Xenopus tropicalis: one gene and its partner. The protein of the gene in region 1 interacts with the protein of each later gene in a biochemical or structural test. Links are inferred from orthologs where the notes say so. Each region holds a gene or a part of one and is shown on either strand. Other genes may lie near its edges.

What was found. The genes of interacting proteins can lie anywhere in the genome.
Region 2: the proteins of e2f1 (region 1) and pura form a complex in vitro, tested with the Homo sapiens proteins (2 studies listed by BioGRID). The link is inferred for Xenopus tropicalis from reciprocal best matches to the Homo sapiens genes E2F1 and PURA.

The regions. Positions count from the first base shown.
Region 1 is NC_030686.2:41,701,341-41,705,296, forward strand, and holds the end of e2f1 (transcription factor E2F1), read left to right. Parts: intron 1-1,715; coding exon 1,716-1,960; 3' UTR 1,961-3,433; downstream 3,434-3,956. UniProt on the Homo sapiens protein: Transcription activator that binds DNA cooperatively with DP proteins through the E2 recognition site, 5'-TTTC[CG]CGC-3' found in the promoter region of a number of genes whose products are involved in cell cycle regulation or in DNA replication.
Region 2 is NC_030679.2:31,046,915-31,050,024, forward strand, and holds pura (transcriptional activator protein Pur-alpha), read left to right. Parts: upstream 1-1,251; 5' UTR 1,252-1,306; coding exon 1,307-2,155; 3' UTR 2,156-2,538; downstream 2,539-3,110. UniProt on the Homo sapiens protein: This is a probable transcription activator that specifically binds the purine-rich single strand of the PUR element located upstream of the MYC gene. May play a role in the initiation of DNA replication and in recombination.

The DNA of each region.
Region 1 (3,956 bases):
ATTCACATTCTATTGGATTGCAATTTGTATTTTATTTATGATGCCCAATTGCTCATAAATACTGTGTGAGTAGCTAATGTGTCAATACTAGCACACTGTTTACTGCTTTAGAAAACACAAAGCAAAGTCTCCAAACAAACTTGGTCTAAGTAATCTGTTAAAGGAACAGTAACACCAAAAAATGAAAGAGCTTTAAAGTAATAAAAATATAATGCACTGTTGCCCTGCACTGGTAAAACTGGTGTGTTTGCTACAGTAACACTACTATAATTTATATAATAAGCTGCTGTGTAGCCACGGGGGCAGCCGTTCAAGCTTGGAAAAAGGAGAAAAGGCACAGGTTACATAGCAGATAACAGATAAGTTCTGTAGAATACAATAGTGTTTTATCTGTTATCTGCTATGTGCCTGTGCCTTTTCTCCTTTGAATGGCTGCCTCCATGGCTACATAGCAGCTTATTTATATAAATTATAGTAGACTTTCTGAAGTAAACACACAACTTTTACCAGTGCAGGGCAGCAGCACATTATATTTTAGTTTTATACACTTTCATTTTTTGGTGTTACTATTCCTTTAATCCGATCTAACTGCTTCAGATTGCATGGAAATCTGCTGCTGTAGAGTCAGGCTGCTAAACGAGAAGCAAACCTACCATTTAGCAAGGGCTATACTAATCAGTCTCGGCTAATGAGGTCAAATTCTGGTGGCACTACAAAGTAAGGCCAGAGCTTGCAAATTTAAGGTGCAATGTTTGGTTGACAAAAACAGCAGATCTAAAAAGCATTGCTGTGGAACTGGGGATTTAATAAATCATGTGCTGGAAAGTGGCAGTTTTTTTTTTTCATTTATAGGCTTCAAAGCTTTATTGAATGGCTAGCATTACATAGAAGTATCTTGTCTGTTGTTTGGCACATAGTAGACCAACATCCATGTTGATTACTTACACCTTACTTGACTTGCTGCTACAAATTCCAGCCTACTTTAACATCACGGTATCAAGTGCATTTGGAGCTGTAGTTTAATAATATCATGGTTATATTGTAATCCATCAATGAGAATCCTACCTGCTCATGTTCTTTGTTCCTGCAACTCGAGGTGGAGACTTTGTCACAGAACATCTCAGCAGCAATAATATACAATAATACTGATGACCTCTATTGTTTATTACACTCACACTCTCTCTATAGGTGGCCATACACAGGCTGATTCTAGTTGCCAATATCGGTCCCTTAGACCGATTCGGCAGCTTATTGGCCCGTGTAGGGGCACTAACGACAGGCCTACCCGACCAACATCTGGCCTGGAATCGGGCAGGTTAAAAAATTTAGTCGGATCGGTCCTATTACCATCGTTCTAATTCGTTCGTTCAATCGGCCAAACAACTGGATTTGCTTGATATCGCCCACCTGTTGGTGGGGGATATCGGGAGGAGATCCGCTCACTTGGCGACTTCGCCAAGTAAGCGGATCTTAACGTCTATGGCCACCTTTACTCTCACTGCCGGTCAGTTCCTAAGCTCAGGAAGGGTTTAGCCCCCCACCCAAAGCTATTTGAAGCTTCTCCAGTTTTCCCTCAGTTGCGGTAAAAAATTTCCTTTCTGACACCAAGATGACAATTGGACCAGTTCCTGGATCAACTTGTTGTAAGAGCTATTATCAATAACCCTGTATTTTCTCACTCCACTAATATAACCTACTTGTCATGTTTTTTGTAGAGCCGTTCCTGCCACCAGAGAATGAAATACCTCTTGATTCTACCTTGAATTGTCTCCCACTTTCTCCCTCTAACCTCCTCCTGGACTACCGGGATGCTATGCCGGACTTTCTCCCCAATGACTTCATCAGCCTGTCTCCTGCTTCATCACAGGAGTACAGCTTTGGATTGCAAACCTGCGAGGGTGCTGCAGAACTTTTCAACTTCGACTGTGACTTTAGTGGCCTCACAGCTCTGGATTTGTAAAATAGTGCCTGAATAGGATATTTTTTTTTTTTGTCTAGCACAGAACCTATTACCAATAATCATTCATTGCTGCTCCAGTTCCTAATTGTCTTATAAGGCTATATATTCCTATGGTCCACATTCCTTTTGGAGGTTCATGTTTGTAATGCAAGAAAATCGATTTTGGAGATGTTAATTTGTATTACTAATCAAGCGCCAAAATAAATGTGTGTGTGAGTAATAAATATATATATATATAGTGTAGGTTGTCAGCGCTCAGGTTTTAAGTAATAAAGCAAAAAAGGCAACAAATTGAAAAATCAAGCAGTGAGGTTTATTTCAGTCCTATACAGGGACATTCGTCAGGGATCGAAAGTCCCTGTATAGGACTGAAACATCGGAACAAATAAACCTCACTGCTTGATTTTTCTATTTGTTGCCTTTTTTGCTTTATTACTTAAAACCTATGAGTGCTGACAACCTACACTATATAACCTACACTATATTTGATTCCTCGCTCTGGCACCTAGGTATCGCATTCTTATGGTGTGCTTCCTTTTCCATATATATATATATATATATATATATATATATATATATATATATATATATATATATATATACGCACACACACCTCTCTCCCTACTGCAGAAGATTAAACAAGAAACGAGAGGTTATAGTCTGGTCTTAGCACTTATATTTACCCATATGTGTGTGTGTATGGGGGAAATGATGCATTTTTAAAATGTTTTTCAGAGGGGTTAAGGGCTTGGTGTGGGTGGTGGAGAAAAGTGAGGCTTTAATAATGAACCTTCAAGCAGATGAACTGGTTGCTGATGGCCTAACCACTTCAGTATGTTAGTACGTAAGAGCTCTCAGCACAGACAGTCTTCGTGTCATTCTTTCTCTGAATGAAGAGCTTTGGGCCGCCCCTATTTCTTTTCCCCGCTCTTGGCATTTCCTGTGCATCCTTATAGAGGAAGTAGTATGCATTGTGACACATTTTGTTTTAATTTATTAAATCCCAGCAGCATTGTTGTCCCTTCCTTTAACCTTACGAACACCCCGTGCAAACAGCTTGCTGCCGGTGTTCTATAGTGTTGTGGTTTTATATAATATATAATTTGTTCCCTATGCTGTTTATTATGTTGATCACTTAAGTTACAGATTTTGTATATAAAAATGCACCAGGCTGAAGCTTTTGATTTGGAGTGTACAGCTAAAAAGGTTTAAAGAGTTGGGGGGGATTATTCTGTAAGTTGGTTGTTTGCGTATATTTTTACTTAAAAACTGCCCTTAAAAGTTGTATTTATAAGCGAGTTTATGTAGTAAAGTAAAAGTTAACTTTTTTTTTTTTTCTTCATTTTGTTCCCTTAATTGAGGGCTGTTCTGAATTGAAGAGCAGACGGGATCAGTGTGTTTGATTGAGCTAGCTTAATTTATCAATAAATCTATTTTCATTGCCAATAAAAAAAAACAACTTTTCAGCAAAAAGCGGTTTACAGCAAATCATCTTAAGTTCACATCCTTAATTGTTTTTGTTTCACAGCATTTTTTAATTATTACATTTTATTTAGAAAAGGAAAACAGTGCGAAACACAGAAAAAACAAGATGACGTGACGCCAAGCTATTGACAACCCCCCTCTCACTTGATGCATCTGGTTACATTGTCCCCGACCCCATGTTCTTTTTACCAGAATTATTCCATTGGTGATGTTCATGTGCCCCCAAAATCTTCCAGAATTTCTGTAAAATCTAAATGATATGTATAATCATCGGTGTACTATTAGAAGGCAGGGCCCAATGCAGATACATTTTCCAGGCCCTGGCATTATGGGTGAGGGAGTGGGGGGTTTGGTGGAGGGCAAAAGTGGCTCCCATCTTCCACTGCAGTGTGAAACTTTAAACCTTTCCCATCCCTTTGCTTTCATACTTGGGTCAACGAGCATCTGTGGGGAGCAAATATGGCGCCTGTCTGGCCACCCAGTTGTATGCTAGTTATGCCATTGCCCTTGT
Region 2 (3,110 bases), on another chromosome or scaffold:
TCTATGGGGAAATTGGGGCACTTTCCATGGGGGGGCCAGGTCTTTGTGGGGTATTGTGTATGGGGGCACTTCCTATTGGGGGCACTGTGTATGGGGCAATTGGGGCTCTGTGTATGAGGGCACTTTCTATTGGGGGGCAAGGTCTTTGGGGGGTATTGTCTATGGGGACACTGTGTTTGGGGCACTGTGTATGGGGGCACTTCCTATTGGGGGCACTTTGTATGGGGCAATTGGGGGCACTGTTTATGGGGGCACTGTGTATGGGGGCACTTTCTATTGGGGGAACTGTGTATGGGGCAATTGGGGCACTGTGTATGGGGGCACTTTCTGTGGGGGGGCAAGGTCTTTGGGGGGTACTGTCTATGGGGGAACTGTGTATGGGGAAATTGGGGCACTGTGTATGGGGGCACTGTCTAAGGGCAATTGGGGGCACTGTGTGGAGGGGGCTGTCTATGGGGACACTGTGTATGGGGCAATTGGAGGCACTGTCTATAGGGAAATTGGGGCACTTTCTATGGGCAATTGGAGGCAATGTGTGTGGGGGGCACTGTGTATGGGGCAATTGGGGGCACTGTGTATGGGGGTACTGTCTATGGGGCAGTTGTATGGGGGGACCGTGGCCAGAATAGCGTTAGGGGGCACTGTGGTAGGGTGACCCTAATACTTTTTATGTCTGTGTGTCCTGTACTGATGGGAGGGGCCCCGTGATTTCTGATGGCGGCCCTGCCACCATGGGCAGCCACTTTTGACAATTATGACATGCGCACCGCATTTCAAATTCAATCAAAAAAAAAAAAAAAAATTTAATGCTGCTTTTTTTATTTTGTCTATTTTTTTTAAGTATAACTAAATAGAGGGGCGGCAAATTTCCGGTCGGCCCCAGGCGACGAAAGCCCACGCTACGCCACTGATTCTCTCCTTTTAACCTATTTTGTTCTTGTCATTGCACTTTTAATAGATGTGCTAATAAATCCTGCCAGTCTGTGGTACCTTCCCTACTGCATAGTGAGGCAATACTGAAGGCTTAGCCGTTCCACAGAATGACCAAGTGCCATGTACAAACACAGGGATAGGATAGTGTGTGGTAGAAAGTGACTTTATTTTCCCAAAACACAAAATCGTTCAGACTTTTGAGGAAGGCAAGTTGCAGTGGCAATCTGCTCAGTGACACGGCGGCTAGTGTCTTTTAAATAGAAATGTGCTTGGCTTCCCTCACAGGGCAGATCTCGCGAGAGCGGCGGGGCTGGCTGTGGGAGCAGTATCTGTGGGAGTAGTAGGCAGAAGGGAAGAAGGCAGAGCCTGTATCATGGCGGATAGAGATAGTGGAAGCGAGCAAGGCGGAGCGGCAATGAGTTCCGGCGGTAGCTCGCTACACCCGGCGTCAGGAGCAGGTGGCTCAGTCCTGCAGCACGAAACGCAAGAACTGGCCTCTAAACGTGTGGACATCCAGAATAAGCGCTTTTATTTGGACGTTAAGCAGAACGCTAAGGGCCGCTTCCTGAAGATAGCGGAGGTCGGGGCCGGCGGCAACAAGAGTCGCCTGACGCTGTCAATGTCGGTGGCGGTGGAATTCCGCGACTATCTGGGAGATTTCATCGAGCATTACGCCCAGTTAGGACCCAGTAACCCGGACATGGCGCAGGATGAGCCGCGGCGAGCGCTAAAGAGTGAGTTCTTGGTCAGGGAAAACCGCAAATACTACATGGATCTGAAAGAGAACCAGAGAGGCCGGTTCCTGAGGATTCGCCAGACGGTAAACCGCGGGCCCGGCCTGGGCTCGACCCAGGGTCAGACCATCGCTCTCCCAGCGCAAGGACTAATCGAGTTCCGCGATGCTCTAGCCAAGCTTATCGACGATTACGGGGTGGAGGAGGAACCGGCCGAATTACCTGAGGGCACTTCATTGACTGTGGACAACAAGCGGTTTTTTTTTGACGTGGGCTCTAATAAGTACGGGGTGTTTATGAGGGTGAGCGAAGTGAAGCCCACCTACCGCAACTCTATCACCGTCCCGTACAAAGTGTGGGGCAAATTCGGGCACACTTTCTGCAAATACGCCGAGGAGATGAAGAAGATCCAGGAGAAGCAGAGGGAGAAGCGAGCCTCTGAGCACCAACAGCAGGAGGGCCATGGGGACGATGGGGAAGACGATTGATAACTGTCCCAATTACCCCCCTCCCCTTCCTTTCCCTTTATCCCTTTATGAACTGTCAAAGAGAAAACAAAAATATATAATAACTGTTTAACTCAGAGGGAGCACCGCCCACCAATCCTCCACACACTGACAGATTGTGACTTGTCACACCCCATCGCTGGATGTTGTCCACTTACCCACCATATAAACAGTAAGCAGCTGCTAAAAAAACAAAACAAAGTAATAACATTATATATGAACTGTGTTTCCTACTTGATTAAAATATAAAAAAATTGAGTGTTTATTTCCCTAATTAACCAAGAACTTTTGTACACCTGCTATTATTAAAAAGTGTTTGCAATGGTCAGATTATATAATTGCTGAAGTATATTAAAAAAAAAAAACAAACAGAAAAAAAAGGGTCCTTTTCATGTGAGCTAACATTTGAATTTAGCACAAAGAGATATTTTAGAGACACGTAAAATATTTTTAGTTTGACTTTTTTTTTCTCATTTTTGTTACCAAATGGAAAAAAAAAAATAAACCTTACATGGGGAAGGTCGTTAGTTCTAATTGACACCTTATATACCTGTGATTTAGAGACGTGTACATATTACGAGGGCTAGGCATGCTGTATGTCTGAGCTTTGTCTAAATGTTATGCAGAGGTTTGTAGAGTTAAAGGTACATAGGTTAATTCATGCAAGGTATAAAATACAACTGCTCTTTTTTTTACAAAAAAAAAAAAAATGCATTGCATCTGGACCTAAAAAGTACAAACGGTCAGTGAAACTTATGTGAACATGAGTCAACTTATTAAAAAAAAAAATTCAAATGACTTTTTGCAGATTTGTGATTTTTAATCTCTATCCCCCCCCAACCCGTTTGTGTTTCATTTTCAGCATATCTTGTTCCGTAATTGTGCTGTTATAAAATCTGTGTGTATGGCATAAGCCTGATCTTCTTCAGGTATGGGA